2 linked regions of the Arabidopsis thaliana genome follow. The protein of the gene in region 2 purifies or fractionates together with the protein of the main gene of each other region. This does not show direct contact. Each region holds a gene or a part of one and is shown on either strand. Other genes may lie near its edges.

Region 1 (17,893 bases), about 11 Mb from region 2:
CAATGTATTCAAACTTCTCATTGTTAAAGTTTGTTCTTGGAATCAACGTGGGTCGCGATATCAACATTGCGACAAGATCCTGTTGGCTAAAGCCCAACCCTTTGTAGTATTCTATCGCGGGTTTGATCTTGTCATCGAGGTCATACAACATGAGTGACGGATTCCGGATAATGACTCTGCGCAACACCTCTTTTGACCCCAAAATCTCCATGAAGTAGTTGATCCTTTCATCAAGGACAAGACGGCAACTAAAGAACCTAGGACGACAGTTAAGAATCTTCACAAGGTCTGAAGACGTGATTCCCAGTGGCTTAAGAAGGCTTAACTTAAACTCTAACTGAGCAACATTGGCTCTCTGCAAAGCAGGCCTACGAGTAAAAAGCTTGGATATTTCATCATCATCACAACCCCATCTTCGTAAAACTTGTAAAGGACTACTAGTAATATCTCTCACTTTCTCTTTTTCACCAACTTCTCCAACATAATCAAATTTTTTTCTCCTAGACGATAGATCAGAATCCTCAATGCATTCTTCAGATTCATTCAGGCATAACGTCGAACACCTGGTGGTAAAGGTAGCAGAAATGAGATTTCTACAACCAGCCTTTCTGACCAAGCTCGAACTAGTAAACAATAATCTGATAACAGCTAAGAAATTTCTCTTCCCGGTCGAATGCATTTCAAGGGCGTAATCGAGAGTTTAACAAACTGGAGAAATAAAGGAGCAAATTTTCTCTAAGAATCAACAATGGCTCTGCCTCAACGACACAATCAGCGACATTTACACGCGTATTTCAGATGCTTCTTCCATCCAATTTTCCGAAATAGCTAGAAAAAATGGAACAATTACCAGTACACGAAGCTTGTGATGAACGAGCGAAGAAACAAACTCCGACCAACGGAGGAGAGTTTGTCAGAGAAGAAGGAGGCGATGGAGAGAGACACAGCCAATTCGGACCAGGTTTGAGTCCGAGTCGGGCGTGGAAGCGAGAGAGAGTAGGGGACTAGGGGTAGTAAATAAATAATGTGGTTCAAACTGAAAAGAGATATAAAATATTGGACTATTATGTAAGATACAGTAACTGTGAAGTTGTTAAAACGCCGCCGTTTTGGTTTTTTTGTTTCTCTCGTTTTCTGGCGTCAGACTCTCACCCTTTGTGCAAGAAACCTTGAGAGCTTAAAAATTCTTCACTTGGGTCTCTTCTCTCTCTCTTCTCTTGCGACCATTCCGTTCGATCCATATATCAAAGGTATGTTGCTTTGATTGAATGGGTTTCTTTTGTTGAATTTAAATTGATAACTTTAAATATATTGAATTTGGGGTTTAAGAAAAGTTTTCAATTTTCGTCTCTGAGTTTGAGCTAAGAGCTGATCTTTGAGTTTGAGTTTGTGTTTGATTTGATTCACTCACAATTCTTAATTAGGGTTGGTATATCTTGTCTTTTTCATCGTTTTCCTTACACATTGCCCATGGCGATGAGACTCTTCCGGGTTTTTAAGCTTTGTCAGATTTGAACGCTTCAGTCTACTTACTTGCTCAGACGTGGTTTCTTTTCATTTAAGTTTGAACATTGTTGATGAAGAACAGATTTAGCTTCCACGTTTCTAAATTTCCAGAGATGACACTATTTCGCATTTTTTGCAGCTTGATTTAGTTGGTTTTCAATGGGGGACAGTCAGTACTCGTTTTCTCTCACCACCTTCAGGTATTAACTTTGTTTATCATATCAATGTTATCTCTTTCTGAGCATTTGGAACGGTTTCTTCGGGGTTTGATTCATGTTGTGGTTTATGAAACAGCCCATCAGGGAAGCTGGTTCAGATAGAACATGCCCTAACAGCTGTTGGATCAGGCCAAACATCACTTGGAATTAAAGGTTTTTTCAATGATCTAATCAAATTCGAGAGGAGATTTTTAAGGAACATTGTCTTTGGTAATCATGACTGTTGTTTTCTTTATGCAGCTTCAAATGGAGTTGTCATTGCAACTGAAAAGAAACTTCCTTCTATATTGGTTGATGAAGCGTCTGTAAGTTTGATCAACTCTTTATAGCAATTAGTTCTTTTTCATTCTGTGCCTGCTCGTGTTACTTTCCTTTCGGTTGCATAGTTTCAGTAACTCCTACGAAACTAATGTTTATCTATTGTCTGTTTCAGGTTCAAAAGATTCAACATTTGACTCCCAACATTGGAACTGTTTACAGGTTCTTCTCTTCAGCTATCCATACTTCTTTTTTAATAGCGAATTTGGTTTTATAGCTTGCAAATTGGATTTATCATACATTTTTTATTTTGTTTTGGGTACTTAGTCTCTCTCATCAGGTGCTAGTGCTACTGATGGAACCTTTCCCTTAGTACCCTAATGATTTCAGTGCTAACTTTGGTATTGCCTTTTATGTAGTGGTATGGGTCCTGATTTCCGAGTTCTTGTGCGAAAGAGTAGGAAGCAGGCTGAGCAATATCTCCGTCTGTACAAGGTAATCTTTAATATCTTCTGTTTTTTTGTCTTCTTTTCCTGGAGTGTCTAGTAGTACATGTATGATAAAAACTTTGGATTGATGATTCCAGTTGATATAAGTTCTTGCTTATTCATAAATCCAGATCGCTCTGTTGATTCAACTTCTAAGGGCGTTTATTGTTGCAGGAACCCATCCCCGTTACTCAACTTGTAAGGGAAACTGCCACGGTGATGCAAGAGTTCACTCAATCGGGGTAAGTACTATATCGAGTGTTATGTAATTACTTCCTCTCATATGCTCAACAGGGTTCAAAAGTGTTATTGGCTCAGAGATTGCAACTCTAGAGCGAGTCTCTCTATGCACTTTTTAGCTCAGTTTTGATATTGATTTGGCGTGAGATAATGTTGTTAATGCAAATCTGTATTTGCAAACTAGACTACTGAATCTTGCTTCTAATCTCTGTCTCCTTCTGCTGTTAATAGTGGTGTTAGGCCGTTTGGAGTTTCTCTACTGGTGGCTGGGTATGATGACAAGGGTCCACAACTGTATCAAGTAAGTAGAACTTTAAAGAAAATATAACCATCCTGCTCAAAGTGAAGTAAAACCCGTAAACTGAAAACATCTTATTTCATAATTTTCATTGGCCACTAGGTGGATCCATCTGGCTCTTATTTCTCATGGAAAGCTTCTGCAATGGGAAAGAATGTTTCGAATGCAAAGACGTTTCTTGAGAAGAGGTGATAATAATTTACCATTTGTGGTGATGAGTTTATGATCTTGGAAGCATGTCATTTCATCTTAGTCTTTGATCAGGTACACAGAAGATATGGAACTTGATGATGCCATTCACACGGCAATATTGACATTGAAGGAAGGGTGAGCATTTTTACCAAAACTTAATTTACTTTATTTCCAGAGTTCAGAATTTCTCAAAAGCCTATAACCTCCGTGTCTTTTCACAGTTTCGAGGGAGAAATCTCAAGCAAAAACATCGAGATTGGCAAAATCGGTACTGACAAAGTTTTCAGGTAAACATTCAAGACTACAAAACTAATATAAACAAAAAATCTTGTTATTCCCATCAATATCTGAAAAGTGAATGTTATATGCAGGGTGCTAACACCAGCAGAAATCGATGATTACTTGGCTGAAGTCGAGTAAAACTTTCACTTAACCGTGCAACCAACCTGATTTGAATCTCAGTATACTCTCAGAGTTGATGGTTCTTGCTTTTGTAAAACTTTTGGAATTTGTTAAGGAGACTCGTGACCCAATAATTTAGAATATGTTTTTTCACTCATTTAAACGTCTGTTGTGAAAATTCAGTTTCATATAACCAAGTTTCATGCACACAAATTACTTAGCCAAAGCTACATATACGCTGTGTTGTAAATGCCAGTAGGAACTTACATACTGTACAAGACCAACTTTCAATCAAAACGGTCTATTTCTCCCTTAACCGGATATCAAATTCTCAATGTTACATAAGGATTCATCAGATAGTTCTTCGGCAACTTTGGTTAAGACCTTGGATATGTAAAGTTTGTCTTACTCTGAAAACCGACTACATATCTCTCCACGACAATCTATCTAACTAGTTCAGCAACAAGAAGTTCTAAGTAGAGAAACTACATAGAAATATATCTCTGATGCAATCAACCTTCACGTGTACAAGAAGCAAGAAGAGAGGTAACCGGCGAACCACAGAAGAGGAAGGTATTGCTTTTGCTTTTTTTCACCTACGCTTGATCATCCAGTCGTGAGCTGTTCGTGGGGCAGTGGAGATTCCCTCGTAGTATCGAGACTCGAGTTTTCCTCTGTTCCATCTCTTGACAAATCGTGAGAACAGTCCTCGTGCAGCTTCGGTCGTGAGATCATTAAAGTAAGTACGTTTTTCTTCTTTCAGCCATGTAGCAAACTCGTTGTTTTTCGAGAAGTAGTCTTCCATTGATAGCTCTGGAATTCCCTCTTTCTGGAAGAAAAAACGGAAAAGAAAAGCATTTTAATCAGAACCTCAGTGTGGATGACAATCCGTCAAACATTACAATAGGGCAACAAGACTTTTGTAATTAAACCATGACTAAACAACTGAAGAGACCAGCGAAGAACCACACATACAAAGTCTCCAAAGCAATATACTTTTGACTTTTTAAGTGAATATACAAATAGATGTTTTTATGGGTAACTATTTCAAAGGGTAAGTTAGAGCTCACTAGCTTGTGGTCGCTTTCCGTATGTTTCTTTTTCGGCTTATCATCCTTGGACTTCTTTGCTGTAAGAGAAAAAAAAATGTCAGCAGCAAGAAAAACAGATCATACTGAAAAGCAAAGACACATGATATAAGTCATGCTGATGAAAGATAAACATAGCTGCTTTAGCTGTAACCAAAACAAGATATTTCTTGCTGCCTATAATCCCTCAAACCAACAGGTTCCGACTACAACCTCTTCCTTCTCTAGGAGAATATAGGTAAGACAAAGCTAAATTGATGCTCCGTTAATGGCATACAAGAACAAGAAAACTCCAGCTCACATGGGTATAACTATAAACACACCACTCTCTAGATGAAGAAGCAAACACATCAAATTTATCATACGACAAACTTAACTTGACTCAACATATAATCAAGGTTCTAAAACGGATGGAACAATATTTACTAACTCAAAACATGAGAAACAGTATCTTACATGTACTGGATTTGTGGTGCTTGTGAGATTTCTTATCCTTCTTATCACTTCTCCTACTTCTCCTTTCATCATCTTTCTCTGTTCCTCGATGCCTCTTAACTTTCTCTTCGTCTGTCAATTCATAAATCACTATGTATCAGATTATGTCATTCACAACAATAAGTCACACTCTCAACGCCAACTACAAAATCTAATCGAAAACACAGATAGATAAATTGATGGCATTTCTCGGGAATCGGAAGAAAAAGTATATACATAGAGGAGAAGAAGAAGAAGAACATACAATCGGAAGATGAAGAATCTTCGCTCCGAGCTCTGCTTCTCTTCTTCTCCTTGGAGCTCCGTTCGCTTACCATTATTTCCCGACGGACTAAAATAAAAGAACGGAGGAGCTGACATATATTTATTTGGACCCCGCGGCGATCAGGATTCATAATCCCGGGTCGGGTCGGGTCTCGATGTCGAAATTACACTTAAACCCCTTACTCTTTTATATTTTGCATCTCGCCCCCAATGTTTTTATTTACCCCAATACAATTATAATCCCTTTTTACTAGCTTTTTGCTCAATGTTACACTTGAACTATATTACCAAGTTTTTTTTTACTGCTGTTTTCAGAAAAGTATTTACTACAAGCAAAGTATTAACAACGCATTTGGTCTACAAAGACAAGAGACTGCATTTTCTTAAAGACTATCTCAACGGAGCTAAACTCCAACTCAAAACCATAGCTCCGACCACCGTATTCTACATAGAGAAACTTTGTACGAGAATCTTCTGGCGGCCGAGAAGGCAAAACATTAGAGATATCTGGAAACTCCGGAGACGGTGGGAGAGGCAAATCTTTCTTCTTGAGAGAATAGTACACATCAGCTAAGAGAATCCAAATGAGATCAGGATCAATGCAAGCAAGTCCTCTCAACGCATTCAAAGCCGCTTCTCTTAGGCCAGTTACACTGCTGTACGCAATCCCCACGACCAATCCTGCAACTTTTTTCAAGACTGCATCTAACGCTGAAGCACTGCGTTTACCTCTGGAAATCTCGGCGATCATATCGAGAACTGCTGCCTGCACTTTCAAGCTGGAAACTTCAGCAATCGTAGAAGATGATGACTCGGAAATGGTTCTGTAAGGAAGTCGGAGAACCGATTTGTTGTCTTCCCGGAGGATCTTAGGCGTCATAATGTGGAATGGAGACGTTGTTAAAAGCTTCCAAAAGTCTGGGCCATCATTGCGGAAACGACGTGAGAAGAAATCTCCTCCGGATGTTTGAATGATTCGGGTTATCACGACTAAGCATCTCCGTACAGCCTGTGGAAAATGCAGCAGGTTTTATAATCCATTAATCTAGAGATAAATTCGGAAGAGGGAGAAAGAGATTGTACCACGGGATTTCTGTTTCGTATGCAAGCAACACAGAATGGCCAGATTTTGTTGATAGCGGGTAAAAGCCGGTTTTCATCTGCTCCATCGTCGCTAGCATTCATGTAGTCTTTAAGCTGATAGAATGAAGCAAATTCAATGACTTCTTCAATTGTTTCTTTGGTTTCTGTCTCAGCTCGATAAGCTTCCTCGACTTTAGCCAGCGCCACTACTCCTTCCTGCATAATTGGATATACTGATTTATTTCGCTTGCGAAAATGTCCTAGAGAGAGCTCAAGAAATCCGACAGGAATAATACCTCAATTATTTCGAGGGAAACTAAGCATGAGACTTGATTTGATGATGCAAGGAGAGGCGTGGCCGCTATTAAACAAGAAGAGGCGATCGAACCAACTGTGCGTCTGTATCGTTTAGAACGATTCAGTTCAAGCAGTATGTTTTCCCATTCTTCTTCGTCTTCAACTATTTTGTCAGAATTTGAAACTCTCTCTTGTCTTGATGTAATCGCATCAGTTGCTTTGGTCTTAACATGGTCACTATATGACTTGGCTCGGTCTGGTAATAAGCAAGCCTCGTTCTTTGATGCATTTACAATCTCACCAACAGCCTAGCAGAAGCACCAACAAAGGTTATGATGTTTCTTAGACAAAAAAAAGCCAATGATTTTAAAAGACTTCAATAGAAAAAAATGAAAGATTGAATTACCTTCAAGAAGGGTATAGTTAGATTTGGATGCTGTTGTCTACCAACAATTTCAAGTTCCTGGGAAACCAATCGCATCTGTAGATCCCCCAAAATGGAAAAAGAAAGTTCTTAACACACTGAATATGATGAATCGGAGTGTGATGAAGATCCAACAGAGGCAATTTTCCATGAAAAAAAAAAAGGTTCACTACAAATGGCCTTACCGGTTCCTCCAACAAAGGTAATATATCATGGGCAACCCCGATATAAGAAAGCATAGCAGCTAGAACATTTGGGACATGAGGATTAAGATCCAGGTGGCGCAGCTGGCGACAAATAGAGTCAATAACATAATCCGCATTTGCAACAACCAGATGCCCAACCTGCCAAACAAACAAACAAAAGACAACAAGATGTTGATTTTAAAAACGATTTTATGATGTGATTGAATATTTTCGACTACATTATTCTTCATTCTCACTGTGGGATGGCCTGAGGTGGCAGCAAGAAGACGTAGGACAGTGTCTGAAGCATTTCTAACTTGGAAACTCGAGCAGGTAAGACTCTCAAGCAGAAGGTAAAGCGAAGAGTGAAGAAATCCACTTGAAGCAAAGTCTTTCCCTAGACACAAGGAAAACACACCTACTCCTTCTATTATAACTTGGTGTAGCATTGCACTGTCTCTTAAGAAATGCAGACTAATATGTTGCCCATCGTTATCAGTTTGGCCCAGAATTGCCTTTTGGTCCACGGGGAGATCCCAAACTTCAGAAGCTTGGTATTCATGCAGGATTTTACCAACGCACTCAATCAGATTTGTTTTTGCACGTTTGTTCCAAGAGATTTCCCAGGAAAGTTTGTCTCTTCCCTTCCTTGACTTCTGAAGCAGTCTTGAGAGAGCATCCGTTGCTTGATCAGATAGACCAAAGATCATCTCATTCAAGATACAAGCAGCAGTTGCCGCCTGGCGAACTAACTGTCCTGAACCAGTTCGATTACACCACGACTGCCAGTCTTCTCCATTATACTCCTTTACACGAACTTCTGAAACCAATTTACGGACAAACCCCAGAGGAATATCCAGGATGACTGCTAAATGCCCTTCGTTTTTAAATCCTGTCAAACACAAACACAACGGAGATGATTTACTATCAGTAACTAACTCATTTATAAGTTAACTGCAGAGTAATTTTCAGAAAAATGGTTCCGAAGGAATATGAAATGACCTGCCATTAAGGATAAGCCTACAAGTCTAAGGATTCCAGCGAGCATCTCGTAGAGCTTCTGGCTACCAACATAAGAAAACCAGGGAGGCATGCGAGGTAACATATGGCTACTGGGGGACGATATCTCCAATTTTACTTGATCTGTTTCTGTGATATTTGGAACAGCACGGTTGTATCTGGTCTCCCGGAACCCCACTTTTAGTTCTGTGATAGAAGGGAGGTAACCTGTCGATGATGAAGGCCTTTCTGCGATGAGTTTCTCAAGAGAACCGGTGAATGCTGAATTATGGCTTAGACAGAGAGAAAATATATCCAGGAATCTGCTAGCTGTTATCTACATAACAGAATGCCATGAAGAACTAATCATATATCGCAAGTCATTATTAGAACATGTTTGGTTTTTCGAACTAGATTTGCTAATCAAGAAAGAAGTAGCACCAAACCTATGAGCGTGTCAAGAAAGAATACATACGGGAGACTGAAGATGATCCGCCAAAAACTGAGGACCGGAATAATAGGTGATGACAAGTAACTGCTTCACCACCGAAAGTGCAGGCAATTCCTCATTCCCCAGAACCACTTTTGGAAGCCTCTCAAGTAGTCTGTTGTCAACAAGCCACGGAAGAAGAATAAAAAAACACATCTCTATTTAGACATCTGCATACTTAGCTTCAAAGGAAAAAAACAATATACAACAAATACCTGCTAAAGATCTTTTTTATATCACTCTCTACATGGTTTTTTGTACTTTCTGAGAATAAATGATCGAGAAATTCCTGAGCTGCTACAGAAACTTCATCAGAGTCATCAACAGCCAGAGTACATACGCATTCCTGCATCATTATAAGGAATTTATCTGGTGGCAATCCTTGGAATGGATATACCCAATATCATGAGTTGTTGTTAGTTATGAACCTACCAACATCACTAATCTAGCACCCTTCAACGAGCAAGAGCTCTTAGAGAGCAGTCCACGTATTGCTGCTAGAAATCCCCATCGAATTTTGCCGGCTGGGTGAATAAGAATCTGAAACCAATTAAGAATTACCATTTAGAAAAAACAATTCCAAAGGGATTTGGGACAAATGTGTTGAACGTAGCACGAGAATAAATAGCTTACATGAGGAAATGTCTCACACAGCAGCTTATTTACGTGAGATGTAGTGCTATCTAACCATTTCTTCGTGCGTTCAACAAGAAAGGAGTCACGACTCAGATTCAGATTGGATTTTTCAGGTACATTGATGTTAACAATCTCTTGGTTTGTAATTTCTGTCAGCTCGTCACTCTGTCCTTGAGATTTTGTTGTCAGAGAACGAAGTTCGTCTAAAATTGAGTGTGCAGATTCATGTTTCTGCGACTTAGTATCACCATTAGAAATCTCGAGAGCCGATGAATTAGCCTCATCCTCAAGGACGATCATAAGAAACTCAGCTAACCCTCTAATTGCTTGGTCCAATGCATCAACACTTCCTGCAGCTCCGCTTATCATTGCTCTCGAAACATGCAACACTTTGAAAACTTGGCTAACAACACCAGGTAGAAAAAACGCCAACACATCAGCAGTACCAATCTGCAACAAGAAACATGTTCTCATTAGGACCCATGGGTGCCAGAAATGGTCCAAACCATATATGCATAATTTAAAAGTTACCTTAGCCACAAGTATCCGTAAAGCCATAAAGGCTTCAACTCGAAGATTTGCACTTCCTCGATGTCCTCGAGAAGCCTCAGCATCAGCGACCTTGTGGAGTGATCAGAATTGAAATACCTTAGAATGTATAAAACTACATGACTCCAGATGAAAGAAAAAAGAAAGCATAGGAGAAAAGAGGGTTACTTTGAGAAGAATGGAAAGCCAATGACCGACAGCAGCCAAAGCAGACTGAGACTGAAGAAATGCAAGCAAGCATTCACGAGTTTCAAAATCATACTTATAAGACTCTGAAACTTGAGTTTGATAATCTCTTCTATCTGACAGCTGAGGCCAGCCAACAGTGCGCTTACAAGAGCAAGAATCATCAGAGCATGGAAGCAGACCAGAGATCATTGCTCGGAAACATTTGACTATCCCTTCACGAAACTCTTCAGAAGCCTCAGATGGTGATAAAACAGCACCACTAGTTAACTTCTTCATAATTACAACCATCTGTACGGGGAAAAAATTCAACACAGTTCCATAACTAAGCTGAGAATATGTTACCCAAATCGAGTAAAGGTAGAAAACAATCATAAAAACGATTGTGAGAGTTCAAAACCAGCTCACCTGATCTATGGATCCAATGTGACATTTTTTTAGAAGTTCTTCGAGACAAGAGATTACACCTTCTGCTACTTTATCACTCACTCTATATGGTGTTTGTGGAAATTCCTCTGGCTTGTTTTGCCCCTGACTTCTGCAAGCAACTGCGGCGTCTAACAGAAGAAGCAATGGGAACAAAGTGTAGCTGAAACGTACATAAACCAAAACAGTTCTCACTAAGTAAACAGTCGACAATACACCACAAATGAACTCTTTTAAACCTTATAATTGAAACTGCTACTCATGTGCAGATTACCGTTTTTTCAGCAGAAAGAAGTAAAAAGATAAAGAGAAACGAGAAAAGTGGAATAATTACTGGAAGAAGGACTGGAGAGAGGACGGAGGAGTACGGCGGAGGAGAAGGAGCAAAGCAGGGATCGTGGTTGGATCCTTTTCAGGGTTTTGCGAAAGGTTTAGAAGCTCCAAGCAGAGAACTTTCAGTTGTGCGAAGACAGCTTCTCTTTCCGGGTCTCCCTCAACGTCGTCTCCATTGGTTTCACGGCGTATTACGACGGACTTGTCCATTGAATCCGATCAATTATCCCACCAAACTCGAAAATCTCGAGTCAGCAAACAGAGAGAGATAGAACCGCGAAATTGAAAAAGAAATGACCCGACCCGAGATTAATTGACCCGATCCATTGCTATTGGCCTTTATAGGTCGTCGTCGTCTCGAATAAAGACCGGGAAGATTTCCCCTTTAGGGTTTTAGGAATAAATGCAAAATAAACCTGATAATCTATATAGAATTGCAAACGAAACCTCATATTTTGTAAAGTATCGTACAAATGAACCGACATTATATTTAATAGTTATAAGAACCAGATTCTTTCGAATCAAATTAAACCAATCGGTTTAAACTTTCAAACTATAAACCGGAGTGTTAAAATGGGTATCCCAACCCAATTTGACTCAATTTTCCTTCACTTGAACCAGTGATAAAGAAGTTGAAAGTAGAAGTTAATTTCTTCTTCAAGTTACCTATATATTCTTATCAAGATCATATAATATTTCTTCAATTTCAAGAAAACTAAGATTTATCAGAAGCCATGGAAGACAAAACTGAGATCTATCTATATTAAGCTTCCAACTTTTTGTCTATCTCCAATGAAATTCAAGAAAACATTCGGAGATGCAACATTGTTGAGATTAGCTTCTTCTAATTCAGTTGCTTGCCTTAATTCGTTGATAAGTTCATAGTTATTGTTACTTCTTCTTCAGCAAAAAAAATAGCTGTTGAGGTTAATATATCTCCAAACAAGAGTAACTGGTCTTCATGTTTTGTCGTTTCCAGTTTCAAGATGGTTGTTAGATGATTGAGATTACTAAACTAATCCTACCAAATATTCTTCAATAATTTTCTTCAAGATTCTCTAAGACTAAAGAAAGAATCTTCCAGATATATAGTTTTAGACTTTTAGTATAGTGTGCATCTTTTGACCAGCTCTGTTTTATCTACAGGCTACTAAAAATAATGCCAATTAAAAAACTATAGGAAATACATTTTCTCTACTATCTCTCTACCTTTCCATCATACATATTGTCATATTGATATCCAAAATAAATATCTTTTATCAATGTATCATGAGCTCGTAGTTCTTCAAGAGTGATGATGATGATGATTCTTCTTCTTTGTATTGTTGTTGATTATCGTCTTCTTCTAACCCGAGTTCGCTTTCTAGGTGCTTGAACCATTTCTTAACCTCATCCTCATCAGACTCTTCTTCTGTTGTTGCTCTTGAGCCTGAGCTGTTCTCATTTGCAGTGGATTGTTGAAATGAGTTTGAAGTATCTAAGAAACTCCAAATGTCAGGATCTGAATCAAATGGTATCTCCAGCAGATCGGGTTTGTCTACCTCTTGAATAATAATGTCGTTAAACTCGCTATAAGCTTCTTCTATATACTCAAACCTGAGTTCGTCTATCTTTGGATCATCTTGTTGGTTGGAACCCCCAGAAGACATAGATGTAGACAACTCATTCCTATGATTAGTCTCTCTGTTCAAAGAATCTTCTACGTGAGATGACTTATCATCTTTCCCACGAGAAACAGAATCACTCGAACAAGGCGAGGCCGGTTCATCTGCAGTTCCTGAGCTCTGAGCCAGTCTTTTCTTTAGATGAGTGTGCCACACATTCTTGATCTCGTTATCTGTTCTACCTGGAAGTTGAGAAGCGATTTTCGACCACCTGATCAAAATGCAGAAAGCTTAATGTCAATATCAAATCACTTTTTTGATCCACCATATATGTATGAGCACAATAATAATCCTAGCTGATGATTTACTTGTTCCCATAGTTGTGGTGAAGCTTAATGATTGTTTCTTCCTCCTCTGAAGTGAAGTTGCCACGCTTCAGATCTGGCCTAAGATAGTTAATCCACCTTAGACGACAACTCTTCCCACACCTCAATAGCCCTTCATTTTTGCATATATATACATTCAGAATCATAAAGAAAAGAAAAAACAATTGAAGAGGCTTTTGCTTTGATTGTGATGACAAAAGCAATGACATACCAGATTGTTTGGGGAGAGATCTCCAGTTCTCATGACCAAACTTTTGAATGAAAGAGATGAGTTTAATGTCTTCTTCTGGGCTCCATGGACCTCTCTTCACTTTGGTCTTGTCACAACAAGGTGCTCTTCCCTTCCCCATTCTCTCTCTCTCACTCCCTCTCACTCCCTCTCTCCTCTATATATATAACTTTATATCACTCAGTTCCTGATGAGATTCACTTTTACCAAAGATAATTTGGTTCTGTTTTATATATATGAGAGGTAAGAGTGTGTGATCTTGACATGAGAAAAGATGAATATGTAAACAGAGGAATTGATAAATGTCAAATCAGATTTGTTGAGTGGGAAAAGGTTGTCTGTCTGTGGTATGGTTGATTATTTGGTATGATTCCATTTTCTCATTTTTACTTCATTTGGCATCCTTATGATGCATGCAACTTATCTTTCCTTCTAACACCGATGCATGAATATTTCACATTCGTTTTTAGAAACCAAAATCCTTAAATAATATTTTCTTCTTTTTTGACATCAAGTAATAATGGAAACTAGCATCTCGTGTTAAAAATATTATCAGATTTGACATATCTTATAAAATTGTCTGAAATAAATTTCGCTAATGTAAGAAACTACTACATGTCGACGAGTGTTAATTGAAATGGTCTTAGGAATTTACAGCGGTAATGATAAGAGTTTTATGTATTTCTTAATAAAAATACTTTGGAGGAGTAAGAATATATAGTTATAAAGTGGCAAAATATTAGGTAGTGTTTTGACTAAAATAAGATTGTAAATCTGCAACTTGTTAATTAAGAATTAGCTTAAGGTATACATAGGAGGAATTGATTATATTAGTTTTTGTCTGCGAGTCTTCTGTAATCAGGCTCAGTGTATAATTACCAACTTTTGAATAATAGATAGTCCCGTGATCATCATGTAGATACAGTGTAACACGAGAAAAATGAACTCTCACTAATAATGCTGTTTTACTAAGTACGCAGTCACTCCATACGTCACTCCATGGAATATTTTCATATTTTGTATACAAAAAAGCAGAAATATATATAATCCTTAAATATAACATTAAAATGAGAGACAGAAAAAAAAAAAAACTGTTAAAAAGTCATTTCTAATCACATCCGAAAACACCAAAAGGCGTAAGGAGTGTGTGTGAGCATAGTGCACGAACTCACCAAACTAAAGACCAAAGAGAGTGGAAGAGGTCAAAGACTTACGTCTTTTTGACTTTTTTAATGTTTGGTGGGTTTGGTGTTGTTGTTGGCTCTTGGCTACGTTAATTACTTAATTCCACCAAACCTTCATTACTTAATTAATTCCTCTGTACCCATCCAAAATTATTCAAGCAATTACGACACAGCCATCACTACATCTATTACTCCAAATATTTTAAAGTACTAAGTATCGACAATAATTGAAGTTAATAAACCCAACAATTTTGTTACGTTAACAAGCTCTTAGGAGGAATAGAGAGGAAAAGAGGTTTGAAAAAGAAGAAATATTTTTCACTAGGGTAAATATCTGGACGTATATGTATTGAAGTTACAAAATGATTAATTCGGAAAATTTTGTCGATAAAAGTCTATAGGAGCAACATATATAAATGACGATCTATTAGTTTTGCATTTTTATACGACTCTTGGTAATCAGAAGGTTGGTGAACAAACAAGTATGAGTGGGAAAACTTTCCCAAACTTTACTAAGAAAAAAAGGACAACTATGAGTGGAAAAAATTAAATTAAATTTTCAACGTCCCTATGGAGTATGGACCTTATCAAAACGATGGAAACTGTGACATTAATTAAGTAGAATAAAATTAAAAAATTATGTAAACTTATGATGAAAGAACACATGTTGCTATTAGTAATACATACGTCAATATCAATTTCGAGTGTACTGACTTTAAAGTTCAGATTTTAGCTATTGGAATAAAGCTCTGCATGTGTATGTTTTGTGTGATCATAATAGGGACACATATTAATATATATCAACTATTTATATAAGACTATATATACATAAATATGCTTCGCTTTTTGCGTTTGTTATTGTATTATTGTTTAGGAGATATAACACCTTATCTAATAAAAACAAATTCTCGATTTAGAAAACAACTCATGCGCCAAAGATTTACCCATAAAAGAGTCCAATCTTTCAAAAATGCTAGAAGTTTAGAATTCATGACTAGATATACTAACGAAAACAAGTAATTTTGATTTTTGTAAGTAAGTTTTAAAAGGGAAATACAATTAAATCATAATTAAAATGATCTGATAATCACCTAAACAAGATTTTTCCAAGAGACCAAATAAGACACCTAATCTTGAAAAAAATAGAGATCTCAAACAATATTATCCATCCTTGGGTTGGGTTGGTAGGACATTTGCTTAACAGTGATGGTTACTTTTTTCCTGATCACCTAACTAATCACACTCATTAGGTCCAAGCACAGTGCTAACATTTCCAAATTAAATAAAATAACGCCATAATATTCAAACATAGATAAATCATGAGATTCATGACCCAAAAAACTCAAAAGGTAAGCAGATAAAATCAATGATTACGCATGCATGACGCACATGTATTTGTTATGGGATCTATTTCAACAGAAATGTGTTGGTTAATATTTTAGGTTTTTTTTTTTAGTAATCAGAATATCTTTATATTAATCTCCAAAGCATGCGAATACCATATAAAATATTATTATATACGGTCAACCATAATTAAGATTTGAACGTAAGCAATTATTCAACTACTAGATCACTGTATATGGACCATATAATGGTTAATATTTTGGTATTTAATTTATTACCCGATAATTAGGTAATTATTCGATATAGTAACCGTCAGTAATTATTACATGACACAACTCGTTAACGTGATATTTAATAAAGACCTCTCATTTCTCTCCATATTAGAGTTGTTTATTTTCGAAAATGGAGTACATAAACATCTCATGCACCAGTTTAAAAGGGACGATAACATGCGGGAAGATGTAGTTGGGCCGGATTTCGTAGATACTGGGCTAAAAATACTATAAACGGGCCTGTCTATTTTTTAATTCTTTTAATTTTGGTAGAAACGGGCCTGTCTAATTGAAAACGTTAGTTTTAACTTTTAAAATTAGAATGAACTAATAACTGAAAATACTTGATCTTTTTTTTTGCTAACCAAAAATAAATACTTGATATTGGTATCGTATTTTAACATTATATCCGATCATCTATTTTGGATATTCAAATTTGACGTTTTTGTGTAAAACTCGGATGTCCACAAATATATTTATCATACATTTTTGATAAAACATGCATTAAATTCTTCACATCAACTAAAATTTTGAAAAATAAAACAGAAAATCGACTGCAGAATGAGTAATGGCCTGGGAATTTAAGGTTTATTATATGCATTTAAAATTTTAATATATCATTTAATTTTGAATTTAATAACCACACCAATATTCCATTTAAATGCATTGAAACCCCAAGACCAGTCTCACTGCCATATAAATAAATATACCAAAATTAATTTCACAGTTACACATTTAGGGCCAGCCGTCTTGTTAAGAATATGTATCCTCAAAAATAAAACATCGAGAAACCATAGATTTAAAATCTTGGGAAATTTGCAAGTATAACCTAAAAACATTTAATAATTTGGAAACTAACACTTCAAAAACTATAAGGTGATATTGTGTATATTATATGTAATAAATACAATTATACCCTCTTCTTCTTTCTTATGTGTGAACATTTTCTCTTTTCTTTCTTCTTTTCTTCCACTACCACCACAACCACCACTACCTTTAAAACCATTGTCGCCGAAAAATCGTATCCGGAGCCACATCGCCGGAAAATCGTCACCGGAGCCATCATCACCATTGTACTATTTTATTTTGCTGTTAGATTTTTGAAAATTGAAAGTTGAGATGATTTCATTTCGTTTAATGATTTTTGTTTGGGTTCTATGTATAGTATCTTAGGGTTTAGTTTTCTTATATCAATATATATTTGTAATTATCTTTTCGTCACCGGCACCGCCATTATCGTCACCATCGCCACTAACACCGCGATTGTTGTCGTCACCATCACCACCGGCACTGCCACTGTTGTCGTCACCATCGCCATCGGCACCACCATTGTTGTCTCACTATCGCCATCGGCACCACCACTGTTATCATCACTATTACCATCGGCACCGCTATTGTTGTCGTCACCATCACCATCGGCACTGTCATTGTTACTATTACCATCTTCGCTATCATTAAGCTAGCCAACACTTTTCTCTTTTTATGTATGTCCATAAACCAAAAAAAGTGTGAAAGATCACGTCACTCTTCTTCTCCTTTTCACGCGCGTGTTCTCATGTTTTAACGAGGAGTTACTTGACTTTTTATCCCTCTTTAGTGTTATTTACTTAGTTTTGCATATTAAGGTGCTATATTCTTAAATAGATTATCAAACATGGTCAGCAAATCATCCTAAAATCTTATATATAAATAAATCTTAATGAACAATGCATAACTTGTTACTCCAGTTTTGATTTGTTTTTTTTTTCCTTAACAATAAAATTTCTATTTTGCTGAATTATTTAGTGACTTTTGACGTCAAATGAATCAATCCCGAT
Region 2 (14,788 bases):
GAGAAAATTCAACAATCAAAAGGTAAAAGTTCAAGACCGGTAAGAGCTTGAGTAGAGTAGATTTCGCCTGACTGATCCTCCCACTCTTTCGACAAAGCGAGGCAAACTTGAGCCAAGTTTCCACATCTTCTGTAGGAGGTAGCACAAGTGCCCGGACAGCCAAAAGTGCTTGCCACACCTGAGTAGTATTGGGAATGCAAAGTATTAAAAAGCACACTATTATACAAAAAACCTGAGATCACTCAATAAAATTTTAATGAGTTTTCTTATTTGGATTTGTTTTTTTATCTACGTAGGATACAAGCTCTGACTAACAGTTTGGTAAGAAGCTACTTTACTTTATAAATCAACAGACGGAAACTAAATAAAGCAAACCTAATATGGAAAAAATCAATTTGATCCTAGCGAAGATTCATTTAATAAAGTCACCATACTGCAATATTTGATGCTTAAAATACCAAATGCCTTGTCATTCACTAGTGGCTCAACTAACATGATAACATTAAAAATAATATACCTCCACATTACGCTTAGATCCCTGAATCCGCTGAGTCCACATATTACGAATTAGAGCTCTCCGTTCTTCGGCAATAGTATTTCCCACAGGCAGCGTATAATATTCAATTACCTAGTATCGATACAACAGGGGAAAAAAATAGAAAGATTAATCATGTATATGGAGGGGTGTTAGGGAGGGTGTCCAGGAGAAGGGATCTTGGATAATTGAGATCTAACCTCCTCTAGTTCTGACAGCTGCTGAACACGAACCATATTGCTGTACGCACGCTCATAGCTCTCCAAAACCTGTAGAAGGCGCAAATAGACAATTACAAGTTTTTCAGTATGCGTGAGCAACTAAGAAGGTAACATGGTGATTACATGATGCTTCTATTGAAAGGAACCAACGATAGCATGCACAAAATGTTATTTAAATAGAGCTAAATATGTAACTAAGATGTCAGGAATGTATAATCCTACTTCCAACACCACAAGGCGTACTCAAATAGTTTCAAGAACATAATGGAAAAGGCTGAGACCAGTTACAAATATCTTTGCTGATATACATCTGTTCCCTTTATTCACAACAGATGATTCATAGATATTTTTCACAAAAGTTTATAATGAAAATACTACCAGAAATGAAACCTACCAGCGCTGCAAGTTCTGTGGCAAGACATTTTCTAGCTCTTTCCACATATTCGCGTGCCTCGTCGTACTAAAAAGGAAAGAAAAATATCCACAGGCACACATACGCAGAAATTAGTGTCTGCAAATAGATTATAAGTAAGCCTGATAAGATTTATAGTACGAAAATATAGGTCCAAGTGTACCTTTGCCCTTCGAACTAACAGAACAGCCCTGAAGAATGTGCCATTACTGCTCCCATCGCCACTAGAAACCGGGCTTGCTAAACCCCGAAGCTTTGTTTCATCACCATCATCTAGCCGAGACACATATTCGGCCATTTGATCCCACTCTCCCATGTTCCATGCAGCTTGTGCAGCCTAGTATGGTTGCAAAAAGACATTATGTAACCATGTAGCTATATCACCGAATGTAGCATAAGTAGAAGTTACCAACCATTGGTGCCATTTCCAGACGCGCAGATGGCTCAGCAGGACTCCAGTACTCTTTGCAGAGATTGTTGAGCTCTTCCCATCGTGCAAGTGCAGCAAGACATCTCATTTGTCCTACAACGTGGTAAATAAGCAATAGAATCAGGCCATTTCATGAAAAGAAAAGAGAAGCATCATATGAATTTTAGACTGGAAAAAAATGCGTTGATCTGTTGTTCTGCTAACTTGTAAGAATGTTATGAACCCACAGTTCTCTATGAACTACTAACAGAATACCGACAAAAAAATGCCAACAGAACTTAGAAAAAAACATTATCGAAGAAAAAAACCCACTAAATCCTCCCAATATTAGTCTTGGTTACCACAAACCTAATGTGGCTTCTAATACAAGATGAGGATTTGTTGTTTGAGATGCTTTCAAAGTGTACGCCTTGAGTGCATCGTCCCAGCGCTGCAGCTTCTCATACCTAGAAACAAACACTGTTAGTGCTTTTCCACTGATTAGGATCAAAGAATGGAACCACACACAATCTTGTGACGGAATGCCTATCAAACAGAACTGAAAATAAGTGCATCATGATTCAGAAAAGCCATGTTACCATGATTCTTTTAATTGCACATCAAGATGTTGTTGAGCATAGGTTAGTATACCGACAGCAGCCTATACAAAGAATTCCAACCAATCAATAATAACAAATATCAAAGATGGTCGAAATAGGATACAAAATACAGTGTACCTCATGCTGGTGTAACTGATTATTTATGTGTATAAGAGCCTCGACAACAGCAACTGGGTTGGCATCCATCCTCTTGGATCGTGGACCTTCAAATTCCATCTCTTTATAATGCAGAGCTTTGGCAAAAACACGGCACTACAAAGTTGGAATATTGCACATTACCAAGAAAATCAGATGAATTCTTGATACGCAAATGAAAAAAGTACCAAATCTAATTTAACTAGCAAATACATAACGCAAACCTTTTCAGCAAGAGCCCCCAGAAGACGAATATCAATGGGAAGAGGCTTCTCATCATGTTCCATAAACTCTGCCTAAGAAGAGAAATAATAAAATCAAGCACAAGTGACAGGACCAAGCAACAGGATCACACATAAAGGTAGGTTGATATTGATTCTGAACTTATGATTGTTTATCCAACCTAAACGTAATATAGATTAAACGAAGTATAAGCAGATATTTGGATTATAGTGTTAATATTAGATTAAATAAAAATTACACGTCATGTTTCCATGTACACTCACAGATCGTTTTGTTGATGGTTTTAGCAACAAAAAACGTGTTTTACATAGAAAGATTAACAGGTGCAACCGCTAAAGAAATGGTGACCTAAGAAGTTTTTGTTTCCAGTCTTGGAAAATGTAGTCAACTCATAACAATCGCCTAAGCTAAAACACAAGCACTCAATAAGCACAAGCATAGCCACAGGAAACAAATTTGCTGTTCGTTATAGCCAGTGACTCAATCAAAGGTCTTTATCATGTTTAAGTTTTCTTGTAATGTAACAACGAACATACCAAATTGAGTAGTGTAGCTAAAATTTCTGGAGGGATATTTGGAGATGAAAAGGCCATTTCCAAGCTCCTAACTAACTGCTTTTGGCTAGACTCGTTTAGCTGTGCCCAGCAACTGACAAAGCCAGCAGCAAACAACTCTCTCCCGACAAATGGCTGCAAAACACAATCATTAAAATGCACCCTTTTGAGAGAGGAAAAGAAAGAGCATAGATGAAACACCTGCAACTGAGCAAGTTTTGCACAAGTTCTTAATGCTGGAGAGGGAGACTCCTTAAGTAATTCAATACTAAAATGTCTCATCCATTCCTCCCAATCTTCTTTGGTGCTGCGTTGAGAAGCTTCTCCAGCTGTCCGTAGTCTACCATCATTAACCTGTTCAGCAGATCATCAAAGCCATGAGTGAAAGTTTTAGCTCTTTCAAAACTAAGAAAGAACCAAATAAACTTTACTAGAGGATCATGTTAAATCAAGCCCATATATAGTTTTATTTGTTTTTAAAAGCTGAATGTCCATGGAGAAGAGGAAATATAGAGGACATATTTACAAACTCATTGAAGCAAATGGCTCAGGACCAAGACTAAGCTTCAATGAATGAACGTTGCTATAGATAAACCTACCCATCATTTAGATAGGAAAAAGAAAGAAAAAAAGATCCGCCTTATTCAGCTAAGGAACCCTACAATACACCCCATGTTTGCCTCAATGAAGTCATACTAATAATGACTATGCCGACCAGAAATTTTGTACAATGTTAGAGTAAAATCATGATTTTAACTTGAAACTTGATAACAAAATTTTCACACATTAAGAATCTATATGTGATTATATACGACACAGAAAAGAGTACCTGATGGTTTCTGTCAGTTCCTTCTTCGAAAGGATCGATCTCATTCTCAATTACAGGATCCCTGATAACCTCAACTGGCAGTCGCCTACTTAATTGTTGGGTTGCAGTTGTAGCTACAATCAATGGTTCACGTCTCCGCCAGCGAGCATGAATTTCCTCAAATTCTTTATGCTGAAAAAATGTTGTACAGTGAGATTTTACAGACAGAAGTTCACAAATGACATTTATAATACATGACAGATAAATTTTTGCTGCTATTTTTATTTAAAAGATAGTAAAATGCAAGACCCGCAATCGATGCTTCAATAAAAGCTTGTGAATTGATTCAATGAATATGGTGAAGTCCTCTCCAAGTGCATGAGCCAAACAGCATAGTGCATCGACAGCATCTTTCCGCAACTCATCATTCTTCCTGCGATTACAGAAGATATACCCCATAAGAATATTTATACGTACGAAACTGAAATCACGAGTAAGGTTTAGAAAAACGTGAAATGAAAATCCACTAGAAAACAATTGGGTCCCATCAATAATGGCAGATAAAATCCCATGATATTAAGAAATGTAACTAACATCTGCGGAGTTCTAATAACAAATACATGTGGCCAGAAAAAATTGTAACTAAGCAATACAAACAACTTATGGAAAACAGATTTGTAACAGTAACAATGACGGATTGAAAGTTAATGAGATAATAATAATTCCATCCTTTTTGATAATGCATTGTCAACCATTTAAGAGAAAACCAGATAGTGACACAATGCCTAAGTTTTGAAGAAGTATTGTAAGAAAACCCTTAGGAAAAAGTAACCAATATACTGTTTTTCAGATAGTGACAATCAGTATAACTCACCCATCTAATACTAGCTTCAAGTGATGCACGAGAGCGGAGATATGACCAGTAACCTGAGGATATATACGGATAATTAAAAGTATTACAAGAAGCTTAATATGGAATTTTTTCTGGATCAGCAAAGGGAAAAAAAAAATCAAAATAAATAACCAAAGCTCCTAACCTGAACACACGGGATTACTCTTGTCAAAGTTTTGATGGCATCGCGTCTTATAGCTACAGGAGCATCTACTTTAAACAATCGAATAAGTGCCGGAAGGAGTAAATGCATGTGCTCATCAAGAGTTCCTGCACATAAGGACTCTAAGGGTCAACCATCAGAGTGAAATCTGGCCATGGTGAGAAAATGGAAACTACAGGAGTAAACAATCTGACTATTCAAAGAACCTATATACCGAAAAAAAATTGGATTTAATAGATAAGAAACAAATATGCATATAATAACGAAACTACTTGTATCATCTTACACTACACAATCTAATAATGTGGAACCTCTTTACATTCTTGTAAAAGAACTGCATACGTTAATTACTAGAACTCGCATACCCAAGTAATATAAAATGACTATGAGGATGTCAAAACAAGATAAGTATTACTGACCGCCAAACACTTCGAGTGTGTGGAGAATATCAGGAACATAGGTGTAATCATTAAACCGCTCGGCGTCACCTAATACTTGGATGAAACATGGAAGGATGACTGGAAGATAAGTTCTGAATTCATCATTAAGTGCCAAGCAAAGATGTTCCAGTAGATGCAGAACCTGATTATCAGTAAGAGAGGCGAAGTACTCCCCATAAGATATCTGTCCTTAATCAATAAGAAACATAGCATACTCTAGGCAGCATACAACTTACCGGAAGACCACGTGATGGGCGTATGGGACCGGGCAAGGTGAAGGATGACCATAGTTCAGAGACTAATGAAAGCAGCTCTGGCAGATACTTGCGTATGTGCTGTACACAGATAACATAAGCTATGAGTTTACACAAAGTCGGTCGTATTTTGACCATAACTGAAAATATTAAGGTGGATATACCTGGCGAACAATGGAAACAAGAGTCCCAAGACCCCACGTAATGAAGTCCTTCAGGTTCTCATCAGATGTTCGAACAGTGTGAAAAAGCTCAGGTAAAACCTTCAAATTCAGAGGTGGAACCAACCCAACAAATTACCACAACGTAAAACAGAGAGAGCATTTATCGAAAAGCTGCCGGAGATACAATATTATTTACACCTACCTTCGGCAAGTAAGGCACGCATCCCAATCCCATTGACTAACCTCGCAAAAACAAAGTAGTGATAAAGTTGTAACCTCCTCATTGCAGTTCCAACACAAGTTTATTTTAAAAAACAGTCAAGATGGTTTTAGTTACCTTGAAAATGATCATCAGAGATCTAACAACCCTTTTGTGGTAACTAAGAAGTGATGCATCTCTAAGAATTCGCATAAGCGAGTTGATAGCAACCTATAACAATAAGGAAAGTAATTGAGCACAATTCAGACTACAAATGAAATATATTCACACAAATTAAGAACTACCGTTGAGTAATAATCCTCAGATGTAGCAAATGACGGCCGGAGTTCGACAGGTAACTCATCAATTGATGGAATAGGTTGACCAGAATCACCAGTGCCGCGAGGAACTTCACCATGTGATCCTGATAAACTTTGTTGGTTACGTTTATGCACATGAGGATCCAAAGCGCCCATAATTCCAAGAACCTGTAGATATAACCACGTTTATCACAAAAATATCTTCTAGAATAGTCTAGAGTAAAACAATTCTCTAGAAACTACCTTGAGCACTTCTCGTCTGGTAGACCACACTAAGTCACCCTTCAGCAATTTCAAGAGTAACCCAAGCAACAATGGGTATTCCTTGTATGGAGTCACAACATACCTACGTTCATAATGAAATTAGAGCCGTAAATAACATGCAGGGAGGATTGTAAACTTCTGGAACTCCCTTCATTTTGTACTAGTTATGTGCACAATAATTAGCACATGTCCCAAGCTACTAAACAGTAACATGCAAGTTGATCACCGCACTGTCTACAAATGTCTACAACTTCATAAACACCAGTGATACAGTTGATTAAATCTAGGCAGCATAATATCCTAGGTATTGGTAAATCAATCCTTTCGCACGACAAACAGAGAATACAACTCATGACAAGTCCGGACACAGAAAGGCAATATTCTTTCTCCGGAATAATGAGCCATCTCAGGAGAGACGGAAAAAAAACCATCACAAAGATCTACCGCAGATAGAAGAACTAGCTAGGGATAACAATATTGTCATTTCATATAGAATTTTCTCACTTTTAGTAGGTTAAAGGATAAACATAACACATATGTATACATTAACACATAAACAGCCTAAGGATAGCTCAGGCTTCTACCTAGCTAATAAGAAGAGATGGAGGCCCCGTTTGTGTCAAAAAATTCACTTAGAATCCAGTATTTTCATCTAGTCCAACCAGGCTTTCGCCAATCAAGATAGTAGCATTGTCTTAGTTTACAAGAAAATTAGCATGTTCAAAATTGCCTAGTAGCATTATCATATAAAACAAGAAGAAAGTCGTAAAAGAAGGTCAATATCTCATACCCTGTACTTTGAACAACTTGACCAAGAGTAGAAACAGCCACCTCACGTTTTGCTACAGCAGCTCCATCCATTAAAGCTTCAACAATTAAAGGCATCAGCTCCGGAATATATTGTCTCATTGCCAAGCCACCCTGAGCAAGCAACGCAAAAGAAAACCAGGAAGGGAATATCTTAGCCAAACACAATAAATAACAGGACAGGAAAGGAAATAAAAGTACCAACATTCTGTTAACTTAGAGACAACAAAAAATACAATATTAGATGCCGGCCAGGGCATTGAAATTTGAAATACGCTTAGCCAACACAGACTTAGAACACAGATAGAAATAGTCAAAAATCAGACTGCAACTTTAACGCGCAGCAAAAACGCAGTTATGTTTGAATCGACACTTAATATAGAATCTAAAACTTGCCAATTATATTTCAACTTACCACTCTTGCAAGATCCCCAACAGTTACGAGAACTCCAGTGACAATATTATTGTTAGCATTCACTCCAGTTCCTTCACTAAGTCTCGCAACAAGTGCCTAGAAAACAAGAGTTACAACCCCGTGAACAACAATAATAGCCATACTATCTAAGAAATGAAAAGAAATTAAACCTTTTGGACAGGGGCTACGTATGGAAGAATGAGCCGTTCACAATTTCGAACTAAACAACCAAGGAGCTTTGCACTCTCTTCCCTGCACTTGTTATCTGCACTGCTGACATTACAATTGAAGTCAATGCAACAGATACATAATCATAGGAAATGAATCTTCCCATATGAACTAAAAAATTTGTAGTTACCTCAGCTCAAGATAGGTCAACAACTGTATAAGATGGCGACGAAGTGCTGGAAGTACGTATGCTGGATTTTTTTCCGATAACCTTCCAGCAACTGAGATGGCATATTCTCGAACATCAAGGTCCTGTTAAACAGAGATATTGTAATATATGAATTGAAATGGTTCCATTGACTAGGCCAGATACTGTAGCCAGGTGGAGTGAAAGTGTGAAACATAAGCCAAACATTCTATCAAGTTAACAGGGTATCACATGATGCATCCACCAACAAAAGGCATTCATTCCATCCACAAATCATCCAATTAAGTTATCTCAGCTGCACTTTTCCAGTACAACTTAATAAGTAACACTGTTTTGTGACACAATAGAAGCTAATTCATAGACTAAAAGCCCAGCTACGTCTTGGTATCCAAATTTTGATATTAGGGGGAGTAATTAAATACCAACTTCATGAACCCATGAAATTGAATCTCAAAGAGCAATACAATTACAATAATTCACCCAAGAGAGACAAATAAAAGATCGGTAACAAATTAGGACTGCAGTATGACATCTAAGCTGCTATTTTATTCAAACAAATAACACAATCATACCTCATCATTTAAGGAAGCAAAAATGGCAGTCAAACTATCAGCCTGTGCTAGATAATCATCGAAACATTGGTTGCCAAATAAAGCAACGAATATAGATTTGCGAACAGTTACATCAGCATCTGCAACGGCTGTCCTGAGAAGCTTTTCCACAATCTGCAGAACCCAAACATCATTTCTCAGCAAGCAGAAAATTGGAACCGCCACTGGTATTGCAATTATAAATGCCATCACGAAGCATGTTTAACATACTTAAGTTCAGATTTGGAAAATAATAAAAAGAAACCTTTTGTAATGAGAAACAGTGAAATTAAAAGACATAATAAGAAAAAAATGTAATGGGCTTTCAGTATGATATAAAACCTCTTCCACAAGGCGCCTGCGTCTCCCCCCTGCTCGTGTTGACCTGCTCGAGCCAAATTGTGTGATGCCAGAAAGAGAATTTGCAATTAGTCTGCAACAACACAAAGCAGCATCTTTTCTTGTGGCTGCATCCTCATCATCCAAATAAACAACAACTGACTCCCGAGCAAATTCAAGAAGATCATGTCCCTGCCAGAAATCAGAAGCTCAAAGACAGAAATTTCATATTCTTTAGAAAATGTTATCCGCAAAGAGCGCCAACCTTGAAATTGAAACGAGCAAGAGTCTGCAGGGCTAGTTGAACTTGAGCTGAACAACTAGGGTCAGAAGACTGTGGTGCCATGCCCACTGTACTACCTCGGACAATGGTAACAGGAGGCTTTGCTTGAGAATAATGGGATTTTGAAAGAACCAACGAAATGCAATCTAGAAGCCGATCTTGTACTGTTGGCAGCAAAGAAGGAATGCTGAGATACAAAGAATTGTCAGCATTAAACGTATACACATCAATGTATGTAATAACAAACTTCTTTCGTTCAACTTTACCTGATGGTTATCTGGTCAAGAGCGTCAACAAGTGTGGAAGAGAGACTAGATGAAAACATAACATCTAAAAGATCTCGAACATGAGTTTCCACTGTGGATCCCATTGCCTTTGCGATGTTACCAACACAAGCCACAGCTTCAAGCAAAGGTCTGCCTTTACGTGGAGCAATCTACAGGGACAACATAGTCGAACAAAGCCACTTGTCTAGTTCAGTTTTCAAAACTAAAACCCAATATAATACTTTGACACAAAAGTAGTAAAACGTAATTACAAAATAAATAAATAAATAAATAAAATTTGACCCACCGCATCCCGCAGATGAGACATAATTGTCGGCAAATAATGGATAAGCTCACCATCCAAAGCACCAGCCATTTCCCCAAGGGCGATGAACCCACTGGCTCTTTCAGCCGGTATTCTTAACACAGTAAGAATATGATTCATGCATATCTGCAAGAAAGTAATTCGTGTCACGTTTCCAGAAATTTTTTGGTTTTAAGAATCTCTCAGTCACTTACCGTTAAATAGTTTGTCACAAACCGGTCACGGAGAAAGTGAGCAATGCGAGGCAGTAACGAGGTGATGCTAAGGCGAACAAGGCGATCACGATGTTCAAGGTATCTGAGGACAATTTCGGCAACTTCTCTATACCTAGACATCATGAACTCACCTGTATTCCTGCAAACGAACTCTAGCATTAAGCTGTAAACTCTAACACCCAATATGCCATGAAATCAATCTGCTTATAACAGAAAACAACGTAATTTTCGTCGTCAAGAGTCTTTTGTTCAGGTATACACTGAGAGTGGAGGAATATACATGAATTGCCTACTTTTTTAATGATGTAAACTACAATACGAAGACAAACTAACAAAACAACCCGAGCATCATGGGGACAAACAAGTTGTTCTACGGAAATATTCCAGAATCAAACTTGAGTGTCTGACTAAAAGAAAGGGATGCTTTCAAAATAGATAACCACTTCTGCATTTACCTCAACAGCTCCCCCACGGCAAGTAAAGAACCATGAATACTGTGAACCGGAGCATTTCTGCCCAACCCATCCTGTGTAGCTTCAAACATTCGATAGTACCTGTAAAAGCCAAATTGAGAGAAGATCAGTTAATAAAGATGGAAACCCCTATTGATAATTTGAAACATTGCATTGGCAATGATATATATAAATGCAGTAGAAAGTCTGCAAAACGTATCACCATGGGAAGAATATATATTCGAATATCATCCATTTTGGGGGGGGGGGGGGGACCACAGCATAAAAAGCTAATATAAGTTGCATTTACACAATAAAATATACAAAGTAGTACTTAAATGAGGGTGATTGCAAATGAAAGTATTGCAACAACACAAAGAAAAGCCTTGCATCAAAAATATCATACCAAATACATAACCTAAGGAAAACATTTCAGACATTATCATTTTCAAGGATAAGAGAATACTTACCACTGCACTCGCCATCGAGTCTCCCTTTTCTCAATAACACGAAGGCATGCACGCAAAGCTTCAACAGCTCGTTCTCGCACTTGCAACTGGGGGTCCCTAAGTGCAACCCAGATAGCATCCACAAATTCAGGGACATGAACGTTAAAGACAGTAGAAGCATTTTCGGCCATCTCCTGCAATGTTGCAAGAAAACATCCATATCCGTATTAACTTAGGATTGGAAAGTTATCATCACTATCATTTTTCAAACATCTATAATCCAATTTATTAGTTCAGAAGTTTCTTTCTGAGTAACTAAAAGAAAAAATGATCTGCTTATCTAAAGGATCGGGCAGCTGAAATCAGGATACCTTTAATATTAAAACGGCGGCGAAACGACGATATTCCACCCTGTCTACGCGAAGCCAATCAAAAGCTGTTTTCATCTGTGAAAACGAGATCAAGAATTGAGCAACTATGAGCCGAGACAGTGATAGGAAGGGGAGGGAAACAAACAATCTTACCTGAAACTCCACTTCATCAGAAGTCATTGCTCCACCTGCCCGAGCAAGGTGCCCCAAAACTCTACTAGCAAGCACCAAGATTTCAGGATCACGCTTCAACTCGAACACAGTCCTCATGTAACCCGCAAATCTAGAAACCTTAGTAGCATTCTCACCAAATCCAATCTCCGTCAACTCATCAATGGCTCTGAGTGCACCCATGTTTTCCGCCACATCAGTGCTCTCAATTAAATTAGCAATCCTGTCATATAATTGCTCCATGAACCTAGAGGAAGCTTCACCACTAAGATCACGAACTGCTTCCTCTACGTGTTTCCTAAACGCTAAAGGAGCTCCCTCCTAATACAACAACCAAAAATCATAAACAAAGTCGCATACTTGATGGAAACCAACAACAATAGATCAAAACCCACAAATTGCCAGACCTATAAGAACTAAAACTTCGAATTTTCCATTAACCAGAACAGAGAGATTCCGTCAGATAAGCAATAAAAGCAAAAGGGTTATATGGGTTTCTACTAAAGCATAAAAAGGGAGAATACTTTACAATGTTCTTCATTACCTTAGGATTACCACGGCTGCAAAGGTCAGCGATGACACGATTCAAAGTGTCAAAGCTTCCGCCACCAGAAGCGGTGGCTGAGGGACCACAAAAGCGGTGCGATTGCGAAGGGGAAGCCATGGATGCAGGCCGTCCAGCCACAAAAGATTGCGACGAGGTAGACATCGCTGCAGGGCCAGTCCAGCCACAAAAATCTTCCAAAAACCCTAAATCTGACCCCTTTTTGGTTCAACAACACTTGGGCAGAGAGAGAGTATGTACAGAGGAAGATAGAAGAATCTTCAACACATGATGCGTCGAGAACCGAAGATCGCAGAAGAAATCAAGATTTTTTCTCTTATTTTTTTACAAATTCAATTCGCTGAGTGTCTTTTTAGCTTTCTTAGGTTTTGCTTTGTTCTTTCAGAGACCAATTATCTTTGGTAAATAAATTGGAAAACCCGAAAGGTTTTTACTAGGAAAATATGACTTTTTCCTTGGAAAATTGTAAAACTTATGTTTGTCTATCAAAAACTTATAAATACAATATTTTCATTTTTTTTTGTCACTGATTAATTACTTAAAACCCTGAAAGGGTCTTTGTTTGGGCTATGTAATGTTTAGAATGTTTAATATACACTTGTCAAAGAAAAAAAATTACTTGTGAAAAAAAAAATAGTCAAAAACTCATATTTGTTCACTGGACAATAGAATAACTTTTTTTGTCAAGGAATAACTTTGTAGTTTCTTGAATAAGTTTTCTTTTATTGTCATTTCACTTTATTATTATTATTTCCAATTATGCTTTTAAGCAGATAAGGAGTTTTTAAAATGATCATTAAATTGTAGGAAAATAATAAACTATAGTTTTGTTGTAATTAGTAGTCATTACGAACAAAAATAATGGGGAAAATGAAAAAATTCAATTGAATGCATATGGTTAAGTTTGTCAACAAATTAAATAAATAAGAGGAATAATATCTATACAAAAAAATATCGAATATTAGTCAAATTTTGAATAAAAAATGTCAAATAATAGTAGAATTGTAAAATAGTTGTATGGTAATCGATATATCATATATTGAAAAATTGATGAAATGTGAATCATATCATTCAGTTAATTTGAATTGTTTTTCTTTTTTTTGGTATGGAGTGGATTTGAATTGTTAGATGTGATGAAACTTTGTTTTTCTATTCATAAAAATTCTAAATCATAGAAATCATTATTTATTCTCCAATGGTAAATTTTTGTTTTGCTTGTATGTTAAGTAGTATTCATATTCATATGTATAGGAAAAACTAAAGAAATGGCTCCTCCAAAATATAGTTCGTGTTTCTCCGTTGTTACAACGAAAATAATCACAATGATTGTGTATGACAAAATAAGCATTACATTCGAAAATTAAACGAAGCACATCCAACATAAAATTTCAAAAGAGTTGTGGCTTGTGGGAGGCTATAGCATCGCTTGGTTTCATCGTACACATCAAGGATGGTGAATAGACAGGGTCCAAGTGTTAACGTTGCGCAATCCCATAACGTGACAAGAATGTCGGTGAAAATATTGGTGTTCTTTTCTCTCCAAATTAATAAACTACAACTAAGAGTACTATTTAAAAAAGAGTTAAAATGACACAAAATAACTCAATTTTTTATATCATTAACGCATTATACGTATAGAATTTAAATAATAACATATACATTTCCATATAGGATAAATAACCTCATCAAAAAAAAAGAAGAATTTTATTATTAGTTTAGACTTTTTTGTCAATATTAATTTATTAGCTTCTTAAGTTTTATATTATTAGCAAAGGATAATGATGCCAACTATATACATGCGTGCTCCAACTTTTGGGACCAATTCATCTAACCTAAGTGATAAACAGATAGATAAATTATCCACTTCTAACTATTTTCCATCAGCTTATTTCAAAATTTAAAAGCTAAATCATTTCAAATCAAAAAGGTCTTTGGCTTTTTTTTATCCACTGTTCCATTATTTCTCTCTTCCATTAAAAAAACTGCATTTTACAAGATCTTTCAGTTTTTAGAAGTAATCAAGTATCAGTGCCAAAAAAAGCTACATTAAAATCTTACAAATTACAGTATACGACGTATTCCTATTTTCAATCGTTATCTAAGTAGAAATATATTTAATAAAACGTGTGAAATGTCAATAAAACAACAACAAAATGTACATACATTAAAAAGAATTCAAGACCAGCAAAAATATATATACACGTTACTATTTAATCTCTTGATATGTTTCCTGTATAAAAGAAAAAAATCTACCATATAAACCTCAATAACGATTCCAGAAATTATATCAAAATTGTAAAAGACAAAAACATTTAACTAAAAAAATCATATAAAGGAGTAAAGAAATAAATCTATTTAGAACACTAGAAATTTCAAGGTTAAGAATCAATACATACTTAAACTAAAAAAAAACTTTTATTTACCAAAAAATAAAAAAATAAAATAAAAGAAAGAATAATATTATTTCAATTTACACATCTGGAAATTGACAGGCGATAGTTTGGTTTTTTGGAGTTTTGACCCCACAAAAT

Evidence for each region.
Region 1: the proteins of TOR (region 2) and AT1G79190 purify together in Arabidopsis thaliana (affinity purification with mass spectrometry, with the first as the bait; one large-scale study listed by BioGRID). This does not show direct contact.

The regions. Positions count from the first base shown.
Region 1 is NC_003070.9:29,782,013-29,799,905, reverse strand, and holds AT1G79190 (ARM repeat superfamily protein), read right to left. Parts: upstream 11,425-17,893; 5' UTR 11,268-11,424; coding exon 11,059-11,267; intron 10,888-11,058; coding exon 10,707-10,887; intron 10,590-10,706; coding exon 10,281-10,589; intron 10,185-10,280; coding exon 10,095-10,184; intron 10,014-10,094; coding exon 9,561-10,013; intron 9,468-9,560; coding exon 9,360-9,467; intron 9,274-9,359; coding exon 9,143-9,273; intron 9,043-9,142; coding exon 8,913-9,042; intron 8,775-8,912; coding exon 8,441-8,774; intron 8,331-8,440; coding exon 7,678-8,330; intron 7,598-7,677; coding exon 7,439-7,597; intron 7,311-7,438; coding exon 7,236-7,310; intron 7,138-7,235; coding exon 6,829-7,137; intron 6,749-6,828; coding exon 6,533-6,748; intron 6,459-6,532; coding exon 5,790-6,458; 3' UTR 5,731-5,789; downstream 1-5,730. Other genes in the region: AT1G79220 (Mitochondrial transcription termination factor family protein), read right to left, coding at 1-679; AT1G79210 (N-terminal nucleophile aminohydrolases (Ntn hydrolases) superfamily protein), read left to right, coding at 1,666-1,706, 1,801-1,877, 1,965-2,029, 2,158-2,204, 2,402-2,477, 2,645-2,712, 2,942-3,011, 3,111-3,196 and 3 more; SCI1 (splicing regulatory glutamine/lysine-rich-like protein), read right to left, coding at 4,195-4,431, 4,673-4,731, 5,147-5,257, 5,430-5,502; MYB63 (myb domain protein 63), read right to left, coding at 12,317-12,932, 13,030-13,397; AT1G79170 (uncharacterized protein), read right to left, coding at 17,284-17,524, 17,620-17,633.
Region 2 is NC_003070.9:18,527,219-18,542,006, forward strand, and holds the start of TOR (target of rapamycin), read right to left. Parts: upstream 12,778-14,788; 5' UTR 12,402-12,777; coding exon 12,237-12,401; intron 12,014-12,236; coding exon 11,675-12,013; intron 11,597-11,674; coding exon 11,522-11,596; intron 11,345-11,521; coding exon 11,172-11,344; intron 10,804-11,171; coding exon 10,705-10,803; intron 10,389-10,704; coding exon 10,229-10,388; intron 10,161-10,228; coding exon 10,017-10,160; intron 9,880-10,016; coding exon 9,710-9,879; intron 9,631-9,709; coding exon 9,426-9,630; intron 9,353-9,425; coding exon 9,164-9,352; intron 8,957-9,163; coding exon 8,804-8,956; intron 8,336-8,803; coding exon 8,214-8,335; intron 8,126-8,213; coding exon 8,026-8,125; intron 7,952-8,025; coding exon 7,856-7,951; intron 7,555-7,855; coding exon 7,424-7,554; intron 6,716-7,423; coding exon 6,613-6,715; intron 6,538-6,612; coding exon 6,355-6,537; intron 6,281-6,354; coding exon 6,188-6,280; intron 6,089-6,187; coding exon 6,053-6,088; intron 5,950-6,052; and 38 more. UniProt on the Arabidopsis thaliana protein: Essential cell growth regulator that controls development from early embryo to seed production. Controls plant growth in environmental stress conditions. Acts through the phosphorylation of downstream effectors that are recruited by the binding partner RAPTOR.